3 linked regions of the Arabidopsis thaliana genome follow. The protein of the gene in region 2 purifies or fractionates together with the protein of the main gene of each other region. This does not show direct contact. Each region holds a gene or a part of one and is shown on either strand. Other genes may lie near its edges.

Evidence for each region. The genes of interacting proteins can lie anywhere in the genome.
Region 1: the proteins of AT2G16200 (region 2) and AT3G07300 fractionate together in Arabidopsis thaliana (co-fractionation; one large-scale study listed by BioGRID). This does not show direct contact.
Region 3: the proteins of AT2G16200 (region 2) and AT3G02270 fractionate together in Arabidopsis thaliana (co-fractionation; one large-scale study listed by BioGRID). This does not show direct contact.

The regions. Positions count from the first base shown.
Region 1 is NC_003074.8:2,323,492-2,330,185, forward strand, and holds AT3G07300 (NagB/RpiA/CoA transferase-like superfamily protein), read right to left. Parts: upstream 4,169-6,694; 5' UTR 4,045-4,168; intron 3,934-4,044; exon of another isoform or gene 3,916-3,933; 5' UTR 3,890-3,915; coding exon 3,837-3,889; intron 3,759-3,836; coding exon 3,604-3,758; intron 3,522-3,603; coding exon 3,228-3,521; intron 2,730-3,227; coding exon 2,600-2,729; intron 2,477-2,599; coding exon 2,369-2,476; intron 2,232-2,368; coding exon 2,129-2,231; intron 2,050-2,128; coding exon 1,924-2,049; intron 1,844-1,923; coding exon 1,656-1,843; intron 1,549-1,655; coding exon 1,476-1,548; 3' UTR 1,126-1,475; downstream 1-1,125. Other genes in the region: AT3G07290 (Pentatricopeptide repeat (PPR) superfamily protein), read right to left, coding at 1-891; AT3G07310 (phosphoserine aminotransferase, putative (DUF760)), read right to left, coding at 4,566-5,316, 5,831-6,186.
Region 2 is NC_003071.7:7,022,130-7,026,576, reverse strand, and holds AT2G16200 (structural molecule), read right to left. Parts: upstream 1,971-4,447; 5' UTR 1,918-1,970; coding exon 1,861-1,917; intron 1,854-1,860; exon of another isoform or gene 1,812-1,853; coding exon of another isoform or gene 1,797-1,811; intron 1,668-1,796; coding exon 1,473-1,667; 3' UTR 1,346-1,472; downstream 1-1,345.
Region 3 is NC_003074.8:447,852-453,599, forward strand, and holds AT3G02270 (Trimeric LpxA-like enzyme), read right to left. Parts: upstream 3,157-5,748; coding exon 1,126-3,156; downstream 1-1,125. Other genes in the region: BIG (auxin transport protein (BIG)), read right to left, coding at 43-149, 317-638.

The DNA of each region.
Region 1 (6,694 bases), on a different chromosome or scaffold from region 2:
GCAACCTTTCTCACCCATTTGATCTTTTAGGCCAAATGCTTCTTCAAGTCTCCCTACTTCACACAACCCGTGAATCAAAATGGAGTAACTAACAGAGTTCGGTGCACAAGTTACCTCCTTAGACATTACATCAAACACCTTGAGTGCATCTCTGAGATTCAATCCACGGCAAAAACCCAGTAACAAAGAAGTGCCTATATGGGAATCTAACACAAACCCAATTTTAAGAATCTTAGACATGAACATCTCAGCGGCTTCCGTGTATCCATTCTTACACAGAGCATTGACAATGGTTCTGTAATCAATCATACCAACAACAAATCCGTCAGCTTCCATTCTTCTATAAGTCACGTAAGCCAAAAATCCTAAATCAAGTTTAGCTAAGGACATCAAAAGAGAGCTGTAACAAGGGTAATTTAACCGGAACCCAAAAACTTCTCTCAGCTCATCAAAACAATACATTAGTTTCAACATCTCTTTCTCGCATCTACTACATTCCTTGATCAACGCAACAATAACAGCATGCGCAACTCGATACAATCCGGAAGAAACAATCAGTTTCAAAAGCTGATTTTTCTGAGTTGGGTCGAAACAATACGACGAATGCTTGCAGACCCACATGAAAAAGCGAACGCAAATATCGTTGTCACTGCGTTGAAGCGAAATGACCTGTGAAGCGACATTTGGATTCATGTGAGAGACTAGAGATTTAAGAGAACTGTTCTTCTCCCAATTGGGGGTTTTTAGCAAAGATGCGACATCATGAGCCGCCACTTCGTCCGAGGAAGACAGAGAAGGTCGAGAAGAGACGGAGAAGAAGGCATTAGAAGGAAAAACATGACGCCCCAAAGCTAAGATCTTTCGAGTACTTCTGATATGTATCAGCAGCATACACAGTACACAGATTGAAAGGAGCCGGAGAGAAACAATAAAAATGTTAACTTTAACTAGTGGGGTTTAGGGTTTTACTTTTATCTCTCTGGCTATTTTGAACAATGGTGTTTATGCAGGTGTTGTCGTCTGTCTGAATATTTTCACGGCGAAGATATAGTGATCCGGTTATGAGGTAATTGAAATTGAACCGTACCGAACCAATGCATCGCCTCACACTTATCAAGTAAAATTGCACCCAAAACTTTAATTAGTTAAAATAAGATGTCCTGTCCACCTCCAGTGGTAATTCTCGTATTAGCAAATACAAAAGCCAACCAAAGAAAAACGTTGTGTTGAAAGAGAAGTATACTATCAAGTAACAATAGACACCATTGAGACTGAGCTAAAGGAATTACCCAAGACACGGCAAAAATAAACTTGGCCTGACAATTTCAGACACTAAGATGTTTCTCTTTTTCATTCACAATCCTTGAGCAACTGTTTTTGTGCAATGTACATATATTCTTCAATTGTGAATGACCGACTATCCGACTGAATGTTGTATAGTTCCCACCAAGTGACCGAAAACTAGTCCTTTATCGCTACATCACCAAATCATCAGCAGAGTAGTAGTCCGCAATAAGACGGTACATGTAGGATGGATTGTGTCCTCCCCTGTAACCAAAAAGGTAACGCTATCACCAACCCTTTATCCAAAAAAGTAATGCCATGAAAATGGACCAACCTAAGAATATAGCAAAGATTATATATAGGAGACTTACGTGTCTGTTATAAAGAGACTAACAAGGTTTGGTGGGACATAATCGAATGTTGGGTTGACAACTTGAAGAGACCCGGAACCTGCTCCAAAATCCAGGCAATCAGAGAATTCACCAAAATCCAACAGTTCAGATGGAGATCTCAGCTCATTTAGTAATACTTCCGGATTGTGAGGATAGAGGGGACACAACTGTTATTACATTGGAAACCCTAAGTCAAGTTTTGAGAGCAAAAAACAGTTTGAGAAATTAAATACAACTCGAAACCAACCTTGTGACTACCAGCAAGAACCACGAATGGGACTGCGTGCTTTTGTGCTGCAAGAGCAGCCATGTTGACACCAACTGGCCCTATAACTCCACCATTAGCCATCACTGCATGAGCTCCAATTATAACCTGTGCATTTTCACATCATTGCAAATTATTTAGAAGACAAGGACAAGAAAACATAAAGTTGGGTAGGAATGAATTGTACCATATTCACTCGAGATATCATAGCAAACACTGCAGAGTCGGTGATCACAGTTGTCTGCAAACCTCTAGCTACCAATTCTTTTGCTAATAGATGGCCCTGATATCTAATATAATAGAATAGAAATGGAAGAAAATTTGATACAGCTGAGTTAGATGGACAAATCAGAGAGAATATAAAAATGTTGAGAGAAAACACTAACAATGGTAATGATGAAACATATAGTAAAGGGAGAAACCAAACCTTGGAGCACCTTCGGCAACAAATACACGAAAAGATCTTTTTTTCTCCTTTGCAGCACACAGAAACTCAAGCACTGTTCTTGAGCTACCCAGGGTTAGGATCACCTCACTGAAAAAATAGAATTTAGGCAATACAAAAGTGATCATCACGAAAAGACACTGAGAAACGACCATTTTAGTTCTCCATGTATAACATGTTAAAGATAAATAATGCTATAGAAAAGAAAAGTACTTTTGATGTATATGCTCTATAGCTTGTTCAGCGATCTGCTCATGACAACCAGCAATCTCTTGAATAAGTTGATTCACTCCTTCGATAACATCATGCTTCAGCTTCCGAGTTAACGAACTTTTATCGGCAGCTAAACAAAAGGGTATATTAGACCATTAATATCAACCAAAAACAGTAAAATATTCTTGCTGCCATATAAAATTTTGATCTATGGTTCATTTATGATATAATCCCAATAAAGTGAGACGAACCACCTAAAAAAGTAGACTGATAAGAACATATATGATTCTCATTTATCTCTATAACTCAGCAACACAACACAAACTCACAGGTAATTCCAGCAACAAAACTACAGGAACCAGTAAAATAGGGTTTGCTTAAACTCTCCCAAGCCTAAATGCCCTAAAGCAAAACCAAAACCACTGAGACCTAAATCTGTCTACGATAGCTAAAAAGAAAACCTTATATATCAGCTTGTAAAAGAGAATATGAGCCAACATTATTAAATTCCAGCGATAACACTTATCTTCAATGGTTTATCAAAGACATCAGTAAAACAGACGGCATAAGGACCTACTGAAAAAAAAACAGTATGTGCAAAGGAGAGCCAAAGGCATGAAAAAGGTACATTTACTTTTGCTTTCGGAATCAGCACCAGATGAAGATGTGTATGGAACAGTTGCAGATTCAGGAGTGCCCTCGAGAAGCGTTTGCAAAGATGGAGGGCGTAATGTACTCCTAGCTGCAGCTGCAACAACTGCTGCAGACATTGCAGGAAACCCAATTCCTTTGCAATTGTCTACATCATCATCATCACTTGCATCCAACAAGTCCAAACCACCCATAGCTGCTGTAGTTAGAGAAAGATCTTCCTCCCTTATAATATGCAAAACCCGTCTAACTACATTTCCCACCGCAAGCTCTACAAAAATCATATCCGTATATATCAATTCCTTTCACAGACTAAGAGAGAAGAAGCAAAAAGAGAGTTTAAGAAGACATACCAACAGGATTAGCAGCGATCAATTGCTCACCAACAGCTTTCACAGCATCGATAAGAGCGGCAGCTTGGTTAGCGTGAGGCACCCGCTGATGCGAAATTACTGACCTAAGTAGCTCTACGGTGTATTTGGCTGTAGCCTGTGAGCCCTCAATCTTACTGTATGAGATAATGATCCAATCAGCAACTATATTCACAAAGGGTTTTACGAAATTAAGCCAGAAAGAAAGAATTTACCGCTTTCTGAGCTTGTTAACAAATTCCACCACCGTTGATTGAACGTCTGGCATCTTCTTTAACCGAAATTAACGAGAAACTTGAGAAAATGCGAAACCTGAGGCGTTAGATTTCATAAACCCTAATCACGCGCGATTCGCGGCGGGAGGAAGAAGAAAATGGGAGAAGCCTAATGTGGAAGATGAGGAAGCAAAATGGATATGCTTACCAGTGAATATGTGACGGTGGTGGGGCGATAAGGAGATGAAGTAGCAAAAATCTTCCGGCGAGAGAGAAACGGAATTGATAATAGGAGACCAGATTTTTACATTCATTCGCTCTAGTGACAATTGAAGGTTTTTTGGTAGGTCTAACTTTTGGGCCGAAATAAGGTGCTATTTGGGCCTAAAATAAGCCCAAAAATACAAGCATTATCAAAGTATCTCCTTCCCTTTGCATAGCTTCTTTGGGACCCAAATTTTAGTTTTGTTTTTGAGGTTTTGAGTCTTTTGACAAAAGGAGAAAGATCAAATTGAACAAGGAAACTTAACACATAACATAAAATTGAACCCAACTACAGTATCTCTTATTCCTTATAACCACACCACATTCTTATTCAGAAATCAAAATATTTCTAAGCAAGATCTATACATTGAACTGAACAACTGCCTGAGAGATTCGGCAGAAACATTTCTCTATATATACACTACCAGAAGATCATGAAGCTTTTCTTCTAACCAGACTTGTTCATCATATGCTTTTCTTTCCTTCTTGTTCTTCTGCATTCCCATTCTCCTTCAGCTTATATGCACCATCTACATACAATTCCGTGTCCCACAGGAATGTCCCAAACGCCACAGCCTCGAGAACCAACCGCTTCAGACTCGAAAACGATGTCACTATGGTCTCATCACTCTCTTCCGTGCCAAAAAGAGCCAAACTTTGCTTCTCTATCAGATTCCTTGCCTCCTCTGTCCTTGGTTTTGCGCATCTCTGCAATGTCTCGGGATCAAAGTCTGAGATGTAATGTCTCAGCTGCTGCTTGTTGGAGATCTGTGCAGTGCCCGTTGTGAATGAGCATCCAAAGATGGGACTTTTCAGATATCCGCTTCCATGAATATCTGATAAGGAACACTCAAGCTGGTGCCTTAGGGAAGCTGATTTCAAGAAGTAACCGTACAAGATCGAGGCAGCATATACTTTCCTGAGATGCAGTTTCTGTATCTGCGTTGTTGCCCAATTGTCAGTCACACATGAGTTGACCCGTAATCCGATGACTGCGCTAACGTGTTCTTTGATGATCTCAAGGGTATCGCAGCTGTAAATTGACTCTAACTCCCAGTCTTTTGAAGGCCAGATCTCGAGTCTTCCATTATAGATGCATCTGGATAGCTTTGGAACAAGAGGGACTCTTATCTCGGAGTATTTGTAAAAGATTAACATGTACATTATGTCTTGGACTGCAGTTTTACAGTAGCGTTCCTTGAGTTCAGCTATCCTTCTGCCAACCATGGAATCAGAGTGTTAGTGTTCGTAAAAGAGCAGAAGATAGTTGAGAAAATGTTCACAAACAGAGCATAAAATGGCCTGAGCAAGTCAGAGAGTTTAACACAGGCAAGAAACTAAAATATACGGAAACTATTTAACGAACTAAGCAACAATGAAATGTAAAAAAGCAAAACCAGCCCTTATCAAACACTAAAACAAAACTTGCTTCACAAGGCAGAGTATGAGAAAGCACCTGAAGATCATAACTACAGAATTCTCTTGTTTCAATTCAACCATATCATTAGTGTGATTCTCAAATCATCATAAACTGATAAACACCATCAAACAACTTATAATCAAACTTTACAAGCTTATGTGATAAATACTAATAAAATACTGATTTGTGGTCGATTAAATAAGAGTATGTAAGTAATGATTTACACATATTTCTTTGTATGTTTATAATTCTACAGCTGTTTACGGATCTTTGAATTGTGAGAGATTAGATAAGGAAAGGTTTCACGGACCTGTGGAGAGAAGCCTCATCGGAACCAGAGCTGAGAGACATACGAGCTAAAGCAGCTTCCCTATCATCAGCCAGTTGCTTTAGCTCATCAGCGGCGGCGTAATGAAATAGCTGCCGTTTGTTTAGCAACACGCTTCTCAGAAACCTCCCCTGCGCCGATCGTGGCTCAAGCGGCGCGTTTAGACTGCTTCCAGGCTCACACCGACTCTGTCCCGCCGCCGCAACCACAACCATCGAACTATACTGGATCTTCCTCTTCGCCGGAATAACAAAACCACCGCCTCCATCGCCGCTCTGTCTCCTGGAACGCGACGGGAGAAACTGAAGCGCCGTTTGATTAGAGAGACAACTATCCATTGATCAGATTTGAGCAATAAAAAAAACCTAGAAACAGTGGAAAAACCCTAAAAGGATCTGTGATTTGAGAGAATTTCGGGAATTGTGAATGAGAGAGAGATGAAGAAGAATGATTTAGCGGATTAGTGGGAGAAGTGGCGAAGAATGGATAAGGTTGAAGAGAGTATCTTTTTGTTACTATATTATTCCGTTTCTATTTTTACATAAAAATATATTTGCTTCTGTTTTTTCCAATGGGCTCCTCAATTCGGTGTGTGGTTATTGTTTAACTCCAACTTGACAAGTGCATATATGTCATTGGCTATTATGTAAATCTTATTTTCGTTGAAATCATTTCTCATTCACATTTTCTTTAGCTTTGAGCCACCTGGAAATTTCAAAAATCCTAGATTCAAACGGACTCGGCTAAAGTCTAATTTTACAGGATTAGTAAAACATAAAACTTGGAAGTTTAGTAAACCACAATTAATAGTATAAGAGAATTTGATGAATAATTGTTTCAAAGTAG
Region 2 (4,447 bases):
GAACATCATCTTAATTAGTCTACCACGTCCATTTTTATCTCCTTGGTATGAATATCCTGAAGAAGACAAGCTTGGAGGCCCACTTAGACGTTAAATCAGCCCATTTTTGTGTTTCTTAACCGACTAAAATCGGATAAATAAATTCACGAAAGCTAGGTCTCTTTAGTAGTATATAAGCTAGGTTTCTCTAGGTCTTACATTAATATGTAAATTTTAACAAATCTCCTTCTTCGTTCGATCTGAAATCATGAATTCATATTCCTTAACGAATGATCTCATCATGGAGATATTGTCGAGATTGCCAGCAGAGTCGGTCGTGAGGTTTTGTTGCGTGTCAAAGCGATGGGCATCAATGTTTGGTACTCCATATTTCAAGGAGTTGTGCCGGACCAGGTCCACGGCTAATCCGCGCCTCTTATTCTCAGTCTGATTCTGAATCTGAATCTGATTGATGATATTCTGCGTGTAAATTGTATTGCTTCAACTTCGGAAGGAACACTCTCTAACGTGTTGAAATACAAGGTTTTGGTGAAGCAGTTACGAAACCTTGTAGCGTTTGCACCTTTGTAAACCACGGGGAGAATCATAATGTTAACGATTTAGAACAGCTCAAGTCAGTCCATCCTCCATTGGTGGAGCCAGAATATCATCAATCAGATTCAGATTCAGAATCAGACTGAGAAGGGACAAGGAGAGAAGAAGGATAGAGACGATCATTGGAGTCAGGTGAAAGCAAAGGGCATGTCATTTTGTTCTCTTACCTATGCGTTTCTTTTTTTATCTCTTGAACGAGCTTTATACATGTATCTTTCATTTTGTTTGGTCTCAAGAACAAGGTTTTGCAGTTTCTTTTAGTTCTCTGTCTTAATCTTGATTATTTATGCTTAACATTTTCAACATTGTTTCTTCTGGATGAGAATGGTCCTTTGTTCTTTTTCAACATCTTGTACTGTTTGTCATTTGTGTGTGATGGGACTAATTTATTTCATGATGACACTTTGGACTCAAATACTTAATGGGATTTGTATTTGTAAAAATGTTCACTGATTTTTCACTGTAATTGAAGGAAACATTCCTTCAGTTCTATCATTTTTTGAAAGGTTGAAACTTTTGGTTCTCTGTAACAATGGGTCTCTTGAGCTGTCTTTGAAAGATGTAACAGTCCTTGTGGGCTTTGTTGCTTCTCTAAGTTTTTTTTGTCTGAATGTGAATCGACTTTAGCAACTGAATCGATTGAACAGGTTACTAGTTATTAGTATTCTTCTGCCACCGTACTATAATTAAACAAACTTGTGTGAATCAACGAAAGAAGAAACGATCCACTACGACATATCCTCAAATAAGCTCATCAAAAGAATATTTATACTAATGGTAAAAAGTAGCAAACTCAAAAAAATGTTTAGAGAAATGACAATAAGCACTTTTCAAGACCAAAAGCGAAAGGGAAAGATCCCTGCGAACCTTTGATATGTTTAGCCGTTAGCAACAAGTGCGTGAATCGCATCGCTGACAGATGGATCCTCTGCTCGAACAGCCAGTTTCATTACAATTTCCTTTGAGCTGTCCATTCCAAACTGTGCCTTCACCAACACTTTCACGTTCCCTATATACAAACCTGATGGTAAACATGTGTGTGATCTTGCGTTGCTTGCAACCGTCTCCGTACCCTGAACCCGAAACCCCCGAAACAATTATCATAAGAATTAAGAAGAACAACAATGCCAGATCATATCTCAGTTATGATTTTTTTTTATGCTAATGAAAAATGTATTAACGTATGAAGAAGCGCGCCTAACCTTACAAGACTGCATGCCAAGAAGATCAGTTACAGCTTTTACAGCTTCCCCTAAACTGTCCCACTTTTAACAGGGATGTGCAGCTTAATTCCTTTAGCTCCAATGTTTTATAAAGATCCATTTTGTCTCCCGCAAAAGTGATTCATTTCCCTCTTTCGAAAACAAGCATTATTAGCCGTCCGTGGTGAATGTGTATGGCTACTTTATATAACTAACTCTGTTTCAACTTGAAAGAAAATGCCACCACTTTAATAAAGAAACACTAAAGGAAAACAAATGATACGAATGATAGTTTTTTATAAATTTTTCTCTTTCATTTTACGTCTTACTATTGCGGCGGCATGTGTAACCTTGTTAACAAATTTTACCTGCCATATTAAATATATTTATTGTTTTGCATTAACAGTTTACAATATCACTTTTTTGTAATAAAACAAAATTTACTTAAACTACATATAAATAAAAACAGTGGAAGTTTAACCAAAATATATTATATTTTATTATGTAAACTATGGTTTTTAAAGTTAATAACTCACATGATTGTGGCACGTGTCAAATCTATCGACCAAATATAGATATGAATTAAATAATTGATTTTTTTTCCTTTACAGAAATAGCAAAATTAAAAAATAAAACAAATTTACATATACTAATTTATATAATTATATCTAAAAAAAAATATTTTTCTTAACCAAAAGATAAATTAACAAATTTGTTTTTATATGTGTTATTGATCAATTAAAATTTAACATTTATTAACAAAATTTGTATTTATCATTGTATTATAGTATTTTCATTCGTTATATTAGATCAAAAAATATTAATGAGTTTATGAGAATAAATTTTGAATTACTATGCTTTATTCGAAGAATTATAAAGCATCATATCATGTGATAGAAGGTCTTGCATCCTTTATAAATTATAACCGTCTAGTTACACCTATTTAGTGCGAACCATTTTTTCGTGAAAGGTATGCAATTTTATTAAAACACTAGATGTTGACCTGCGGTACACCGCGGGTCTATATTTTCTTTAAAAAGTTATTTTTTATTTTAATTAATATTATTTATATATGAATAACATATTCAAGAGATATATTACGGGTCTATAATTTTATTAAATAAAAATTGATTTTTTTGTCTTTAAAATGATTTATATATATATATATAGGCCATTGTTTTTTTAATGTATGATACACCTTGTGACGATTTTTATAACTAAAATTTATATTTAATTTTAAATTGTATCTGTTGTGTTAATATTATTTATTTTGTTTAGTGTTTACAATTGTATAATTATGTTTTGATTGTTAATTCTAGGGTTTCACCCATAATATATCATCCCGTAATAATATCGATCAAGACATATCCCATATAACCATGTCCCATGAAGTTAAACATCATTTTATTATTTTCTTATAAAATTCAAATACTATAAATATTTGAAACTTCAAAAACAAAATTAATATTGATCTAAACTTTATAATTGTATTTTGATTATTATATCTAAGATTTTGTCATAGTTTTATAAACTTCAAATATTTATAATAATAGAACTTCAAAAAAACTTATTTCGATCCAAACTTCATTTAATTGTTATATCTAGAACTTTATATGTGGTATATCGTCCCATATTAACATCTTTTTTAAGTATTTATAATGTTTAATTTTATAATATTCAAACTTTTTATAACGTTCAAATATTTATAATATTTAAATCTTCATAAAAGTTTTAAAATTATAAATATTTAAAACGTTGTAAAGTTTAGTATTTATAATATTTTGAAACTTTTTAAAGTTTTGAGTCCTTAAAAAAAATACCGGAGTAAACCGGTTAACATTCTAAATTTTGGATGCCTGATAAATCAAGCTTTTTGCTCATTCGTATTAAGAATCATCTTGATCCTTTTTATAGTATGACTTTGAACCATTGCCCATTTTTGTAAGCAATGTACAACCTGTAGATATATTTTGTTTTCTTCATCGGTATGTCAGTTTTTTAAAATTTGAATTACATTGTATGCAGAAAAAAATCTAACATTTATTAACGATATGTATTTTTATATAAAATCAAAGTAAATTAGAAATAAGAACAAATAAAAGTGAAATTTTTTTATATATTTATATTTAATGTAGGTAAAGAGAGTTTAGGTAATTAGCAATTAATTAAATGTAGTGCAATAAAGATAAAATTTAATTATGGATATATATTTAAGATAATATCTTCTTAGAATAAATTTTGTAGGGACTCAAAACTAAATATTATTTACTTTTGGACAAAAATTCGCTGGACTCAATTATAATTATTCATAAATTGGATGTTAAGAAAGGAAAGTATTTATGTAAGTGTTTAATGTTGATTGATGATTTGTAAGTTTTGTACTTTAAAATATTTTGTTTAGATATTTTTGGTAGAGATTAAAAACTAAATAGTATTTACATAAATGATTTTTTACAAAAGTTTCACCAAAAATGTATAAGTAGATATGTTTATTAGGTTATTTTCAGAATAGGCCCATCCAATAATTATCTTTGGGTCTCTAGTCCAATTACACCAACCAAACCTGGAACCAAACCAAAATCAACCTAAGATCAAACCCAATCTAAACTAGCAGATAACCGATCTAAACCCGGAGACACATAACTCCTAAG
Region 3 (5,748 bases), on a different chromosome or scaffold from region 2:
CCCTACTGAATCTCTATCACAAATTAATAATAAAGAACAAACCTCCATTTTGAGATCATTTTGTCTAAAACTTGACTTCTCCAAGAAGCTGAGAGAGAATTCCATCACCTCCTGGATGACACCCAAAACGATTGGTTCGAGTTGGTCCACTAAGATACACCAAAAAAAAAAAAACAGTAAGGAAAATGATTCGAGATCATCACTGTTCAGATGGAAAATAACTAGTAACTCATCTAGGATAGCAACAAAAAAAGCAGATGCCAAAGCTCAGAAAGTGGAAGACGAACTAGAAATGGACAGCTAAATTGATACCGACCTAAACCTTGATTCAGTGTCAAGTCAGTACCTAATAGAGATCGAGATAGTAGAAGGATCGCCTGAGATATCGAAACAAGAGCTTGAAGCTGCGAATCGGACCATGTCTCAAAGCGTAGCTTGCCAGAGGAATCAGCATCGTCTCCGCCGATCGGAGCGACACCCCAGCGAAGGAGGAGATAGAAAGAACGGAGACCGCGCTTGATCGAATCATCGGAGCGTAAACGGCGAGAAAAGAGATCTGAAGATGCCGAAGACGACAAAGAGGGAAAGGCGGTGTCGTCGAAGAGAAATCGGCAGAGATTCGCCAAGTCATCTGCCATTTCTGGCGAGGCGAAAGAAGAAGAGTTCGATGAGGAAAAAGGTTTCTAGAGAAATAGGTATATACAAAAGGAAGAGGAAGGTAAGGGTTTATAAGTAAAGAATCAAAGGCGGTGAAAGAGGACTCTGTGGAGAAGACGATGTTCCTTCTTCTTCGTTTTCATTTCCTTATTCTTTTCTTTCAAAATCAGCCCAAAAATTAATATTTAGATCATTCCTTTATTATTTTTCACTTAGTTAAATTTCTCTAATTCGTTAGATAACTATAATTGTTTTTTTTTGGGAAATACTGTAATAAGCTTCCTATAATACATTTACAAAAACATAAAAGTTGTATTTATATACCTCATACATGTAATGGATGAGATATAAAATAGCACATCATTAGAATAACACATGGAAAAAAAGACAAAGTAATCTCTTCGATGCAAATAATCAATCAGAATGTTCCTTTTGGGAGCCAACGAACACATGTTTACCACCAATTCATTAGCCATCTTCATCGTCAGATGTTTCCTTGAGCCACGTTATGAATGGCTCGCATTGTTTCAGATAAACTTTGTCAGATTCATCAGCTCCGGCTTTCTCATCCGACCATCTCAAGATTGCAACTTCTTGCAAAAGGTCATTCTCTTCCTCATACATATAACGTAAAATATGAGCAAACAAAGTTCCCAACTCATGAGCAGATTCTTCACACATCTCTTCCAATCTCGATATTACTTCTATCTGTTCATCACTTTTCTTTACATAGAACCCAAGAAGTCCCTTCCATCGAGTAATGATACTCGATGCGTTTCTATACAAGTCATTAATAGAGCTATGTGGAGTACTAACTGCTAGTTTCATCATAGAGTAGAATATTGCACCAGCACAATGTGCAGATTCCATGTTATATGACAACCGGAGTGAGTTTATCTCCAAAACCGCAAGGTCGGCTACAATATTCTCTTCGACAGCCCTTAAGAAGGTGCCATCAACCTCTCTCTCAAAGTCAAAGAGATCATTGTTAATACTAGTATTAGCATCGCCGGAAGTTGTGACAACACTTTCATCATCCGTGTCATCATCGTCAATGGCCTTAATGATCTCAGCAAGTTTATCTTTGGGGATTGGTGGAACAGAATGCTTCCACTCGTCTTCACACGCTTGGCGCCATATGTAACCTGCTCCATCAAGACCAAGCTTAGACTCCATTTGCAAATCTACACCTGACAAAAGATTTTCTTCATCACTGTCTTCTTCCATTGGTTGTCGGAGTAGTGAAACCTGTGAATATGCAGGTACAACAAAGTCCCTCCCGACTACAACCTTAAAAGACAACACAACACCAGGTTTCACAATAGCTCCTGCACACACTTTCACCTCATCACATACAATAGCATTCCTTATCTCACATCCATCTTCAACCGTAACATTGTTCCATATGTATGAGCCTTGGATCACCACATTTGATCCAATAGAACATCCATTCCCAATAACAGAGTTCAAGATCTTAGTCCCACTCCCAATATTTGTGGCATGTCCAATGACATAGGAAGCTCCAACATGAGCAGATGGTAACTGAGTAGCATCAGAAGCCTTGTAGATCCCTTGTCTCTCGAGCTTAAGAGTGCGATTTCCGCTGAACTTCATATCCGGTACATACGGGAATGTCCGCCTCTGGATTATATCCTTGCTCACCATGTCATAGCTCCTGAAATTTTCAATCCTAGAAGCATAACACGAGCTAATCTCATGAGTGAAAATCTTGTAACCGATAATGTCATCAGCAAGAACACCTTCCACAAAATCACAACGCATATGTTGGTAATCGAAGTTATCCACAAATAGACTAAGCACCTCAAGAGAACATATGTCAATGTAACAATCCTGCATATCACTACATAACAAAACAGATGGATTACGATCCAGCAATGATTTATCGAAGCAGATGTTGTCCTCATCGTAATAAAGAAGCTGTTTTGTTAAAGGATTTACAGCGATGAAGAGTTGATGATCGGTGATGAGTGACTGTCTGATAACCATAGTCATGATAGCTTTCTCATCTTTCTTTTTTCTATCTCTGTGTTCTTGAATCAGCTGCGTCAGGGGCATGTTACTAACAATACATCCATTAACAAGAACAAAGTCACCTTGAATCTGAGACGTCTCAATCTGCTGCTCGTAGATATAACGCAAAGCATCACCAGCACTGGTGGAGTTTTGCGGTGACTCTATAGTTTTTACCGTAAAGTCTTTGTGCGAGTACCAGTCAGAGTTGTTCAGATAATCGATGACTTGCATCGAGCAAAAGACGAAAACTTCTTCTATGCCAGCAGATTCGAGCCAAGCTAAGGTGTAATCAATCATGGGAATATTCACTAGCGGTAACAAGACATTGGGGCGTTCTAAGGTTAAGGGAAGGAGTTTCGTGGCGAAACTGTCAGCGAGAAGAATGGCTTGTAACCGTTGACGGCGACTCTGTTCCTCCTCTGAATCCTCTGAAATCTTCGCAGCACGTTTCTTACGAGAAGCCATTATCTGATCTCCCTTCTCTCTCTCTCACTCTCTGAAAATTTTGATCGAAAATGTCTGCAGGGTGCGAGTACCATTTCAGACTTGGGAAATTTGAAAAACTCTGTTTTGATTATTCAAAGACTTTCTCAAAGTCAAAACTTCTTGCAGTGATAACGTCTTTTTTGTTCCTAAACGTCACGTGTTTGGCCTTTTGAGAGAACCGGATTTTCTATTTTGTCGGTTCCATTTGAGATTTGGATCAAATTTGTTTTAACAAGTAATAAAAGCCCAAGTGATAGATAGAAACCACTTTCGAGGTTTTGAGAGTGACATAAAAACGAGGACTATATGGGCTTATTCCAGGCCTGAGCTAAATTTAAGGCCCAATCGTTTGTTATTAATTATAGACATTAAATGTCCCAAACGAAAACTAAAAGAGATGGAAAAAAAAAAAAAAAAAAAACGAAAACTATAAGAAAAAGCCCTAGCAGTCTGTTCTTCTCAACTCAAGTTTGGGCGAATCCACCATGAAAGTAATCTTCTACGCTTTTAGTGTTTTTTCTAATAAGCTTAACTTTTGTTAGAGCTCATCTCTAATTTTTATGGTATAAACCAATTGTTATGCTATTTTTTAAAAATATTGTATAATGTTATAGTATACTCGATAACTATGTCATAAAAGTGGCAAAAACTTTTCTAGTGAAGAAAACATATCAACTCACTTTGATTTCTTTAGGGGCTCAGCTAAATCTAGTTTTAATGGTTGCAGAACAAAATGAAAATAAAAATTTTAGTATCTCAAAATCTAGTTTCTATTTTTTTTTTGTGACAGTAATCAATGATTTCAAAATAACCAAAAACCTCGTAATAAGATTCAATTGAATCTTAAAACTACACAACTTTCAGAACTAAAGAATGACGAAAAACGAAATAATAGAGGAGAAGTGGAGGAGCTACTACACAACTATTTTCATTTTTCTAACCAATCAGAGCGCACCGGACTACGCCCACTCGCACCAACTTCGCGTCACGCGCTCCGGACCACGCCCACTCGCATCAACCTCGCGTTGAGCGCGTGTCGTCGATTTCTGTAGGGGTAAACCCACAAAATCATGCCTATTTTACATCTACTCGCTTTGTTTCCAAAACAGCCTCGAGTGACTTTTTCTTTTGTTTTTTTTTTCTCAAAACCGTACTATTCTAATACAAACCGAACCAAAATTAATTTTCATTTCACAACCATCTAAACCAAACAGAAATCACTTGTAATTTCAAAACCTATGTACGCCGAACCGAAATCTATTGTCATTTCATCAAAACCATGTAAAAAGCTTCTTCGATTGTTTTAACATGCAACTGAAAATAACAATCCTAATTTATCAACAGAGAAATATAGAGATACCAACGAAACTATGGGGATGACAAGTTATCATCTTATCCACATCTCTGTCCAGTGTGAGTTTCACGATCGTTGATTTAATAGGTAACAAGGACCAGAAGCTGCGGCAGCAATGAAAGCTGATCTTGTTTCAAAGCCACCGCCAAGTCTTTTGGTTTTGCATACCGCTTTCACACATTGGAAGACCAAGGAACATGAGACACATACTTCTGCTGACCTATATAGGAATCATAAGTAACCACCAATGTTGGCATAAGCAGAGAGTATGAAAACTTTTGTTACTAATTTAACATAAAAACAGTATGATAACAAAATGAATACATGCGTAAACTCTGCTTCTTCTAAGACACATATATACTAAAAGTTCCCCATTTGAGGCTCCATTTAAGAATGAAATTGAACAATTGAGGTTCAAATTTTCTTACTTGTCCCACAGATGTTTCCACCAATGCAAACCACTTGAGCTGTTCAATAAAAGCCTTGCAACACTTGGGATATAATCGGAAATTAGATGACAATAAAACGAACCTCTGAGATATTCGACAAGGTATTTCTTAACTTGAGTAAGGTCTGAAACGATTTAACTACTCTACCTTTGATTTTGAGAAGATGATTACAGTTGTGATTTTGGTGGAGACAAAAATGTCCATCTATGTATGTTGCTAGCCATCTTTTTTCAGATACTTTTGTCTTATTTTCGAGTTACAAGTTACAAGGCACTATGCTCTGTAACTAATTTTGCATGTCTTCCACTTATTGTGTTGTTGTGTCTTTTGGTGGATTAAGCTAAGAGATCAACAAGACAAGAAAAAACCAACATTTCTGTTCTGATACGTGGATTGCTGGTTAAATACGGTTATATAGATGTTGGTTTAGTGGTTTAATTCGTATTGTATACTTTACAAGTTTGACTTTGTATTTTTCAAAAAAAAAAAAAAACCTAGCAGTCTGTTCTTCTCAATTAAGTATGGGCGAATCCACAGTGAAAGTAATCTTATTCTCCTTATGGATTTCTTCTTACGCACGACTGTGAAGTAGAAAGCTCACCATCTCTCTTAGAAGAAGAAGAACACACTGTACATTGGTTCAAGATCAATTTGGCTTGGCAGATGCCCTGTTGTTCTGGTACAAACATTTGGTTCTCCACTAAGATTTCTCGATTTAATTCGGTTCTGATTTTAACTTGCCAATTTAAATCATCAGACCGGGATCCG